Linked DNA regions of Caenorhabditis elegans. The protein of the gene in region 2 purifies or fractionates together with the protein of the main gene of each other region. This does not show direct contact. Each region holds a gene or a part of one and is shown on either strand. Other genes may lie near its edges.

Region 1 (4,729 bases), on a different chromosome or scaffold from region 2:
AGGAAAAAAAACCCGGTGAAATCTAGTGAAAAGTGTCTCAAATAAGTTTTTTAAAAAACATAACATAAATAACAAAAAATATTGGCCGCGGCGGGGATTGAACCCTTGACTTATTTTCTATCAGTCATCTCTCTTACCAGTTGAGCCAAAAGTGCACTTTTGAAATTTCGAAAAAAAAGCTGTTTCAGAAGTAAAATTGCATGGGAAACTCAAAATTTTACGTAAAATCTTGCAAAATTTGGTTTTTTGGTTCGAAAATTCATTTTTCCTGGAAATAACCCAAAAAGTCGCAAATTTTGAAACTTTTCAGCAAAAAAAACCACGTCTAATAAAAATCTAGTAAAAACTGTCCTTAAAAAGTATTGAAAAAATAATTGACCTCAGCGGGGATCGAACCCCGGACCTATTTCTCACCAGTAATCTCTGTTACCGGCTGAGCCAAAAATGTAATTTTAAAATTCCAAAAAATGGTTTCCAATGTGAAATTGCATGGAAAACTTGAAAATCAATACAAAAATCAGCAAAAATAAGTATCTAGCCTTGAAAATTCACTTTTCCGAAAAAAAAATCCGTCAAAAAGTTTCAAAAGTTGTATTTTGAGCTCAAAATTACTTGAAAAACTACTCCACCTTACATAAAAATACATGAAAATTGACAAGTCATTGAAACAAAAATTATTGACCACAGTGGGGGTCGAACCCCCGACCAAATTTCCCAATTTTCCACCAGCCATCCCTGTTACCAGTGAGCCAAAATTGGAATTTTATCATAAAATTTCAAAAAAAAAAAAGTGGGTTCCTATGTAAAATTGCATGAAAAATTCAAAAATCTGTATGAAATCTCTTGAAAATTCTTGTAAAATCATTAAAAACTCGAAAATCTGAACTAAAAGGAGAAAAATCCAACAACAAAAAAATTCGTAAGTCACCTCACCTCATCTGCTGCGCGTGGAGGGTCAATCTTGTGGTGAGATGGGTAAATGACAGTGTTTCCTCCTTCTTATCTCTAAATCTCTCAATTCCTCATACTCTCTCACTTACTTGTAAATGTCTACTGTCTCCCTCTCTCTCCCTCCGCCGGCAGCAGCCAACCGAAATGACCGCTACTGGTATTGCGTATTAAGAATTACGCAACAATGTGTGAGAGACACAGATGACCTTAGATTTCCCAGGCAGATTAGTTGTATAGAAAATTGAGACAATACTTTTAGAAATTACTGAGAAAATCTGTGAAATTTTTGGGATTTTTGTAATTTTCTCATGAAAAAGTATATTCAAAAACCCTTAACTGCTTAAAAACTACAAAAAAAGCAACACAAAAATTATTGACCACAGCGGGGATCGAACCCCCGACCCATTTCTCACCAGCCATCTCTGTTACCGGCTGAGCCAAAAGTGTAAATTTCAAAATTTCGAAAAAAAAGGTTCCCAGTGTGAAATTGCATGGAAAACTTGAAAATTAACATAAAAATTTGTGCAAATGAGTTTTTAACCTCGAAAATTCACTTTTCATTCAAAAATTCGTTAAAAAGTCTCAAAAGTTGAACTTTTCGCTCGAAATCATTTATAAAACTACTGTAAATAACTGAAAAACACTGGAAATTGACAAATCGACAAGGCAAAAATTATTGACCACAGCAGGGATCGAACCCCTGACCTATTTCCTATCAGTCATTCATGTTACCAGTTGCGCCAAAAGTGCATTTTTAAAATTTTGAAAAAAACGGATTCTACTGTAAAATTACGTGGAAAACTTGAAAATCAATACACAAATCAGCAAAAATAAGTATTTAGCCTCGAAAATTCGCCAAAAAGTTTCAAAAGTTGCATTTTCAGCTCAGCGCTACTTGAAAAACTATTCCACATTGCATAAAAATACTTGAAAATTGTCAAGTCACCAAAACAAAATTTAGTGACCACAGCAGGGATCGAACCCCCGACCTATTTCTTATCAGCCATCCCTGTTACCTGTTGCTCTAAAAGTGTACATTTCAAAATTTCGAAAAAAAATCCTCCGGTTTCGGTGTAAAATTGCTCGTAGATCAAGAAAATTTTGTTCAAAACGTCTAGAAATTGCCATGACTAGTACGAAAGTGTGTTTTCTTCGTCTTCTCCATCTCCTCTCCCATTTCCCTTGTTCAAATCTTTGCAATGGGCATATTTAATTTCATGCGTTTTATTGTTTCATGGAAAAAGGAAATGGGGGATACGAAAACCACAGTGTTACATTTTATGAGATTTGTTGAATTAGGTGTGGAGAAATTGACGTGGAAACTGGGGGAAAACCAAGAAAAACTATCGAAAACTTATTATAACATGAAGAAAAAAAAACAACTAACAAAACAAAAATTATTGACCACAGCAGGGATCGAACCCCTGACCTATTTCCTATCAGTCATTCATGTTACCAGTTGCGCCAAAAGTGCATTTTTAAAATTTAGAAAAAAAAACGGATTCTACTGTAAAATTACGTGGAAAACTCGAAAATAAACTTGAAAAGTTGATAAAATGAGTTTTTAACCTCGAAAATTCGTTAAAAACTCTCAAAAGTTGAACTTTTCGCTCGAAATCATTTAGAAAACTACTGTAAATTACTGAAAAATACTGGAAATTGCCAGATCAACTAACCAAAAATTATTGACCGCCGCGGGGATCGAACCCCCGACCTATTTCGCACCAGCCATCCCTGTTACCAGTTGCGCCAAAAGTGAATTTTAAACATTTTGGCAAAAAAAACGGATTCTACCGTAAAATTACGTGAAAAACTCGAAAATTACTATAAAAAATTAACGAAAATCACGTTTTCCACGCAAAAATTCATAAATTTACTGAAATCTCGTAAAAAACCTTTGCTTTTTAGCAAGAAATCTCGTGAATTTGTCAGTTTTCAAGATTTTGGGGCGAATTTTTTGTTGATTTTTTTTTCAATTAAGTCCAATTTGTCATTTGCTAGAAAATATTAAAAATTATGATTTCATGAAAAAAAAAACTCACCGTTTTGCAAATCCTCACTGACAGCTTTCCGGCGAATTTCAGAAGTTTCCGAAAGCGATTCCGATGTAGAATTTTCTCTAGATTTCATATTTTCTAAAAAAAAAACCTCAATTTTTCATCAAAAAATCTTTTTAAAAAACGAAAACCCGGTGGTTTGAAACATTTGCTTCTCAAAAAGCAAACATGGTGCATCGGAGCAAAATTTTCAGACTTTTTTTTTCATTAAAAAAAGATTCAAAAACTGTGAGAATAGTGAACAACTTGTAGAGAGTACCGAGAAAATTCTGTACAAACATTTCTAAAAAAAATTCCCGAAAAAGAGTGGTTTTAATCTGTTCATTTGAACGGAGAGAGCGGCAGAGATGTAGAGAAACATGACAGTCAGAGGTCGGTTGGCACAAAAGGTGAATAAATAAGGGGAAATGTTGATAAGAAAAATGATAATAACACAAGAAATTGTGCTAAAAATTATTGGGATAATTCTGAAAAATGAAAATAAAAAACTAATTTTGGCTCAACAAATTGAAAAGGTGCGTATTTTTTAAAAGTTTTTTATAATTTTTTACTCATAAATCTTGATTCCAAGCAAATTCTAGTCTATTCGGTGTTCGCGTACTTTTGGAACTACAGTAACCCCACGACAAAAGTAAAAATTTGAAAAGTTATTCAAAAATTTTACGTGAAAATTAAAACTGCAAAGGTTCGTAACGAAATTCGAAAAAAAACCCCTCTCCTTTGATATTTAACTGCCTAAAAACTACAAAACAAGTACAACAAAAATTATTGACCTCAGCGGGGATCGAACCCCGGACCTGTTTCTCACCAGTCATCTCTGTTACCGGCTGAGCCAAAAGTGTACATTTCAAAATTTCAAAAAAAAAAATGGTTTCCAATGTAAAATTGCATGGAAAATTTGAAAATAAATATAAAAATCAGACAAGAAAAGTATTTAGCCACGAAAATTCACTTTTCCTAAAAATTCGTCAAAAAGTTTCAAAGTTGTGCGCAAAACTACTTGAAAAACTACTCCACATTACATAAAAATACTTGAAACTTGTCAAGTCACCAAATTATTGACCACTGCGGGGATCGAACCCCCGACCTATTTCTTATCAGCCATCCCTGTTACCTGTTGCTCTAAAAGTGTACATTTCAACATTTCGAATAAAAATCCCCCGGTTTCGGTGTAAAATTGCTCGTAGATCATGAAAATTTTGTTCAAAACGTCTAGAAATTGTCATGACTAGTACGAAAGTGTGTTTTCTTCTTCTTTTCAAAAAAAAAAGAAAAAAAAACCCCCTTTTGATATTTAACTGCCTAAAAACTACAAAAAAAGTACAACAAAAATTATTGACCTCAGCGGGGATCGAACCCCGGACCTGTTTCTCACCAGTCATCTCTGTTACCGGCTGAGCCAAAAGTGTACATTTCAAAAATTTCAAAAAAAAATGGTTTCCAATGTAAAATTGCATGGAAAATTTGAAAATAAGCATGAAAAGTTGAGAAAATGAGTTTTTAACCTAGAAAATACACTTTTTCTTGGAAAACCAACACAATAATTTTAAAAAATAAGTCTACAAAATATATAAACTTTAAAACAAACAAAATAAAAAGTTTGGCCCGCGGTGAGTATCAAACCCAAAAACCAATAATTTCCTGCTAAATATAAAATTTAGGGAACATACTTACAAATAATTGATAAAGTATTGGAAAAGTATGTATTTTCATTGTTTAAG
Region 2 (3,626 bases):
GCGAACCTTAAAACAATCAAATTCAAGAAGGCTTCACGCGTAGTACACATGGTACGGCTAGCCGATACGGTCCGTGCTTGTGTCGGCTAACCATGCCAGGTGAATTCCTATAGATTTGTATAACCGGTGAGGTGTCGGGCGATGCAGGCCCAACTCGAAATTTGCAGCAAGATCGGCCTAAGCTTCACTATACTTTTACATAATTGTTCAGTTGGTCAGTCCCGGATAGCTGAACCAAAAGGGCTAAAACTATAGACTTCTAGAATTCAAACAATTGTTCTTATCAAAAAAAAAATTCAGACCTGGACGCTGACGAGGTGGAGACTTCGGAAACTTCAAGCTACACGGACCCAATTCAAAAACTGTATAATATGACATCTTCCCAAATTTATTTTCCATATCACTCTTGACTTTTTTTGTTCGGAAATCAAACCACCCGCTTTATTTTGCTTTTCACCTCATATTATTTATTTCGAGTTGCTATTTTTTTGAATTTTGAGAAAGATAAATATTTATTTCATTATTTATTTATATAAAAAAGAAACGAAATGAAAAAATACAAAAAAAAAAATGCAAACATGGATGGCAAATCGGCAGGAGGCTTCGGGAATTGTGATCAGTACTTGATGGACCTGAAGTAATCGGCCAGGGCTCCGGTGGTCTTGCTGCACATTTCTGGTTGGAGTCCTTTCTCGTAGATGGAAATAATAACGGCTAAAAGTTTCAGAGATTGTTTAAATCAGTCTAGTAATCCTAGTTAGTTCACCTTGGATAGTTTTGTAGATGAAAAATCCAGATCCTCCTTGCTTTCCAATTATTCTGTCATTATCTGCGTTGAGGACCAAGAATTTTTGTCCTTCCAAGCGGAGGCCGGTTCCAAGAAGAGCATCCTGAAAATTAGAGGGTGAGAATGATATTAAGAGAAGCAAAAGGTACCAAGGAGGTGAAGGCTTTTCCTGCGGCGACGGCTTCTTCGACGGAGATCTGGAAATACGTTACTATTCAAATTGTACTGCTTGATCTACTACAGTGCTCAGTGCCCCGACTCTAGCCTCAACTTATGTTTTCCAAAAAATAACGAAACCTTATTTTTAGGACTAAAATAATCCTACACTACAATATTCCTACACCATCTTCACCGACGATTCCTTCAATAGATAAAACGTATTTTTGAACAATAGTAACACTAAAGTACTTCTACAGTACACCAACACACCTTTCCTACATGAAGACTATTTTTATAACAAGCTAAATATGCTTTCAGTAACAAAACTCACGCAGGCGGTATTTGTTCATTATCTGTCAATGCACCATGTACTAATCTTTCAAAACTGGTGCAGACAAAATATAGATTTTGATAGAAGTTTACAGTGTTTTTAGATCAGAGATGAGATTCAAAGAGAGGTGGTGTATCGACCAGGAGTTGCATTCCTAGAGAAATACCTAGAATTCTAGCCTAAGAAAATTGCAAGTCCTTTCCAGTTTTAATATCTCAAAAAAGTTCTAACACCAATCACAAGCTGATCATGCCACTGAAAGTCGAGATTTTGGCAACTTGACAATTTTAAAAACTTTGAAAACTTACATTAAAGTTATCACTCTTTGCCCATACAGCTCCGTCGAATCCAAGAATGGCAGCCTTGCTCACATTTCCAGACCCGATAAGGTTATTGTTGATAATATCAGACCACGACATGTTTTCGTTTTGTGTGTGCTGAAAACTTTGAAAGTAAAAGTGAAAGTCTAGAAGCTCAAAACGTGGAAAACGGGGCACAATTGTGCAGTGCGTGGGAGAAAGAGAGAGAGATATGGAAACAGATGACGCTTGGTTTCTGACGTTTTCCAAAAAATCATGAAGAAATTATTTTGAAATAGCAGTTTGGAGAGATGAGTAATGAACACATGTTGATTAGATATCTGATCGCATGTCTGGTAAACGATTATGAAATCAGGTCTAACTACCTGCTTAGGAGAAGCTAAAACTTGGTTTTATAGAAGCTAAAACTTGGTTTTACAACAAAATTTTTTTTATAATTCGTTGTTAGGTAATTCGATGTCTATAAAATATTATTAGAATTTTCAGCGGATACTTTTAGATGGAAAGCGGCAGTTATTTTTATAGCAGTTTTGTTTTAGAAAATGACGTAAAATTTTCTACAAATTTGTGCCACCTTCAAATTTCTCAACTTTTACAAAGCATTATAGCAACATTAAATTAATACGACCAGGTGCTTAACATCAATATTGAAATCAGTGAAAGTTTGAGTTTGAGCCAAGAATTACAGAGCAAATAAAAAACCTTGAGATTTCTTGTTACCAGTACTGGAGAATTTAATTATTGAGGTTAACTAGAAAGGTCTCAAATCTAAAACCTGTCTGAGATTCAAAAAAAGATAGAAAGAATAGGCCCAGTATTTTTATCCTTAAATTTGAAATACCCACAATTGGATAGTTACTTTTAGGAATACTGTAAAAACCGGGACCAGAAGTGTTATCATGACTCGACATCTACCGGGTTACGCTCCGCATTGTGCTTCCATCAGTAGTGAGTTAGCTTATTGCAAGACCGAATCCCGGTAGATGTCCGGCCATGATATCATTTGGGGTGCTGATTTTTGGCATTTCCTCAGAAAATTATCCTCAAAGTGGATGCCTACTAAATTTCAAGATTTTCACGTACACGCACACCAGTTTTGTTACATTAAATGTAGTATTCGAAAAAAACATATATAAAAGACTTTAGAGCCACAGCAGGTAAATTATTTCTTAACAAAATTTTCATTTTTGGTCAGTTTTGCAATTTACCACTTTTTGATATTTTCAGAAAATACGGCAATATGGGGAAGACGTCATAAATAAAAACAATTCGAAAAAATTAACAAAAAGTGAGAAATCTAACTTTCAAAAAGTTTCAATAAACGTTCGTTTCAAAACCGGGACGCAAAGAGATCGGAAGATATTTGCGTGGGGTTCGTTGCTCGCTGAGCCTCTGTTGGACATAAAATGTGAGACTAAGACTGAATTGCCGCTCAATAGCCGTAAGACACCAGTTTGTCTCCTTGCCTCCCGTGTGTGTGTGTGTGAGAACAGTGTGTTGATCCTGAAGAGAGCGCGCGCCGATTGGAACAGTGTACGGGGGAATGAAGTACCGCAGATAGATGAAGGGCGGGAGAGGAGTCGCTGTGGCAGAGGAGAGCCTATCCCCGGGGCAGAACTCGACAATCATAGTGTAAAGCTGTCGTTTGCTCTATGTCTTTTTCTCTCATTTGCTTTATCTGCAGGTTCCACTGACGCGACGAAAACATTCAAGAGAGAGAAAGGGAAACGGATAGCCCCGCTCACCGACGGCCATCGAAATTTCAAAAACTATTGATTGATTTGCAAGGAAAGTGTCTAATGAGATCAATGTCGAATTTTTGATTTGCGGCTTGCACGCTGAAACATAAGGATGCTTTTTAGGACGGCTCATTTTGGCGTCCACTCAACAGGAAACGTCAGCCTAAAAATTGAATCTAGATAAAATTTGATGAAATAATAATATTTCGTTTTCAAAGTTCATGTGCCAAAAAACTGGAAAAAAACGATTTGGATCATAATATCTTTACTAACACGGTACGAAAAAACAA
Region 3 (3,273 bases), on a different chromosome or scaffold from region 2:
ACAACAACTTCGCAATCATAGCATCGTGATCTGATGATTCGGAAGCCATACGTCTAGAGAATACATCGATATTCACAAAACGTAATGGACTTGCTTCTTCTACAGATACAGGTGGTTCTATGGCAGGCAGTGCCTTCTTTCGTCGTCGAAGACCTTGTTTTGAAGGAGAAACTGACGTAGAAAAAGGGGAAATGAAGGTTTTGTGTATCTGAAAAACATTAAAAATTACAATTACAATTAAGTTCCGAATTGTATTTCATTGCAACTAAAAATATTAATACATTTTTCGGTTCCTCCGTTCGTCCTGAATATCCTAGACTTTTCCGTTTTTGTGTTGGAGCAGTAGAGCTTGTGGAAGGTCTGAAAATAATATACCGCATTTCCTCTATTAGTCTTGCATGCAAGACTAATTTTCAATAGACCCGTAGGGGTGCAAGACTAATAGGGACTGCAAGACTATTAGAGGCTACAAGACTAATTTTCGAAGATCCAATAGCTTTGTTAAATTGGCCATTTATCGTCAAAATTTTGACTTGAAACAGTCTAAATCATGCAAAATACATGCTTTTCTATTGTTTTATCAATTACTTGAACAGTTTAAAATTTAATTTAGCTAAAAAATGGCGAAAATTTTGAAGTTTTGACAAAATACTGCTGGCCTGGCAAGAATAGGGGTGCATGACTATTACCGTATTTCCTCTATTAGTCTTGCATGCAAGACTAATAGAGGGAATACGGTATGTGTTAAAATTTGAATTTTTTATAAAAGCTCACAAATTTTCCGGTGTAACTTCTCGTTTCCTTTTTGGCAGTTCAACTGGGATATTAACATCTTTTCCATGACTATCTTCTAAATTTTCGAACGTTTTTTTTGGCATTCCTGAAAACTAAGAAAATCTTTAATTTCGCAGAACAACTGAATAAACAAGTAGAATTTACAGAAATTCAACAAAATTTTTAAAATGCTCTTTTTATTCAAAAAGAACGGCGCCGCGCCATCTTGAACGAAAACAAAGTTTCGAAGAAGACGAAACACGGACACAGGGCGGTGTCAGCTATTAATTTTCAATTTAACAATTATTTTACAACATAGATTTGTTGTGAAACATTTTTTTGCTTTTGAATCAATTATAATCTTTTTAAAATTTTGAGTCATAGCGAGTCACTGCTTTTTCATTCCATGAATCTGCGGTGTCTGCTTTTGAAATTTCAGTTTGAGGTACGGTTGAATTTTTTGTGTGCATTAACACAAAAGTGTTTGCGTACTTTTGCCACTTTTTTCATTTCTTGATTCGTTTTGTTTATCGGCGCGCGATGAGTCATTTTTGCCGTAATTTCCTTGAAATTCCAGTTTTATTTATTGATTTTTCACAGCTTCATATTATTTTTTCCATTTTAGTTTGCCGAACAGCGAAACAAAAAGCAAACGATGTTCTCGCATGTTGTCGATTAAAGCTTTGGATTCCAACATAAATTTCACTTTTATTTTGTTTATATTGTGAAAATCGATACTTAAATAAACAATTCAAAGCAACTTTGATATAATTTAGAATATTTGCAGTGCAAATGGCATCCGGCGCGTCGGCAACTCAGCGGATCCCTTCAAAACGGCAAACGCTGGACGAGGCATATGCCCCGCCGGCCAACTTCCTTGAAATTGAGGTTTGAATAAAAATCAATGAATTAGATCAAGATAACTTGCAGGTTATCAATCCTATCACTCATGGTGTTGGAAAAATGCGCTACACGGATTACGAAATCAGAATGAGAGTAAGTATAGATTAACACTGACCGCATAATAAAATCGTTGTTTCAGTCGAATCTCCCCGTTTTCAAGCAGAAAGAATCAAGCGTGCGTCGCCGATACAGTGATTTCGAATGGGTTCGTGCTGAACTAGAGCGAGATAGCAAGATTGTGGTTCCAACGTTGCCAGGAAAATCATTCAAACGGCAACTGCCATTCCGATCCGATGATGGAATTTTTGAAGAGGAATTCATTGAAAATAGGCGCAAAGCTCTCGAGTTATTCATCAATAAGTACGTAAAACTGTTCAACTATACGGACATCAAAATGAACTCAGAAAATTTTCACATTTCTAAAAGTTTTAATAATATGTTCTTGCAGGGTTGCTGGACATCCACTTGCTCAAAACGAACGCTCTCTCCATATTTTCCTCCAGGAGCCAACTATTGACAAAAACTACGTGCCTGGCAAAATTCGTACCGCTTAAATTTTAAAATGTTTCTAAATTCTCCGCTCACGAGAAAAATCTCAAAATACCCAGAGTTATAGTTTTAACGCTGTCTGTTTCAATAAACAGAAGGAAACTTTTAAAAAATGATAATGTTTTCTTATCATATTTTTACATAACAAAAAATGAGTAACGCTTTCTGATCTTTTGAGATATTTAGTTTTCAAAAAGTGAGTTTTTAGAAGCTTTTTTCCAATTTAATCTCGGCCCATCAAAATATTGTTTCCATCCCTCCACCAAAATGCGGTATTTTTCGAAATTGTGTACTTTGTCCCCATCACCACTTCTTTCCCATTGATTTCCATTTTCTGGCTCCTGTTTATTTCATATTTATTTTTACATTTTTGTGTATAGTTTCCCAATTTCCCAATTGATTGCACTATTTTTATTGCATGAACCCCTTTTATTTGAACAAATATGAAAAATAAGTCTTCCGTTCCTTGATTTCGTTTCTTTGGATTTTAAAGTGGTAAATTGGCAGTTGTGTGCATATCGCAAATATCTTGAGTGTATCATTAAAACGAGCATATCTTTAAGATAGACAATTTGCAGGGTTTTCTGAAAAATGTTCCTTGAGAAGATAAATCAAAAAACCGGCGAACGAGAATGGGTTGTGGCTGAAGAGGATTATGATATGGCTCAGGAACTTGCCAGGTTTTCAACTTTAAAAAAATATTCCGCATAGAAATAAAATTTAATAAACAATACTTCTCGCATTTTCTTGCTTTAAAACGTTAATTTTCAGAAGTCGATTTGGAGATATGATTCTGGATTTTGATAGAAATGACAAGTTCCTCGCAGGATTAAAAACTACGATTGCTGAGAAAAAACATGAAAATACAGATGGGAAAGTTCATGTTTTAGATATTGGTTAGCTGTTAAGTTTTCAACTTATTCGGTTTTTAAAGTTTACTATTTACAGGTACTGGAACTGGACTTCTTTCACTAATGGCTGCTCGAGAAGGAGCTGATAAAGTGACTGCATTGGAAGTTTTCAAACCAATGGGAGATTGTGCAAGAC

Evidence for each region.
Region 1: the proteins of pfn-3 (region 2) and frl-1 fractionate together in Caenorhabditis elegans (co-fractionation; one large-scale study listed by BioGRID). This does not show direct contact.
Region 3: the proteins of pfn-3 (region 2) and snx-3 fractionate together in Caenorhabditis elegans (co-fractionation; one large-scale study listed by BioGRID). This does not show direct contact.

The regions. Positions count from the first base shown.
Region 1 is NC_003281.10:2,122,494-2,127,222, reverse strand, and holds the start of frl-1 (GBD/FH3 domain-containing protein), read right to left. Parts: upstream 3,087-4,729; 5' UTR 3,082-3,086; coding exon 2,994-3,081; intron 1-2,993.
Region 2 is NC_003284.9:1,078,930-1,082,555, forward strand, and holds pfn-3 (Profilin-3), read right to left. Parts: upstream 1,721-3,626; 5' UTR 1,697-1,720; coding exon 1,586-1,696; intron 985-1,585; coding exon 937-984; intron 891-936; coding exon 767-890; intron 715-766; coding exon 617-714; 3' UTR 501-616; downstream 1-500. Other genes in the region: LIM/homeobox protein lim-6, read left to right, coding at 301-410. UniProt on the Caenorhabditis elegans protein: Binds to actin and affects the structure of the cytoskeleton. At high concentrations, profilin prevents the polymerization of actin, whereas it enhances it at low concentrations. By binding to PIP2, it inhibits the formation of IP3 and DG.
Region 3 is NC_003279.8:9,062,692-9,065,964, reverse strand, and holds snx-3 (Sorting nexin-3), read left to right. Parts: upstream 1-1,561; 5' UTR 1,562-1,566; coding exon 1,567-1,662; intron 1,663-1,704; coding exon 1,705-1,770; intron 1,771-1,816; coding exon 1,817-2,037; intron 2,038-2,125; coding exon 2,126-2,231; 3' UTR 2,232-2,687; downstream 2,688-3,273. Other genes in the region: rad-54.L (DNA repair and recombination protein RAD54-like), read right to left, coding at 1-208, 282-360, 775-878; prmt-7 (Protein arginine N-methyltransferase 7), read left to right, coding at 2,818-2,906, 2,998-3,122, 3,175-3,273.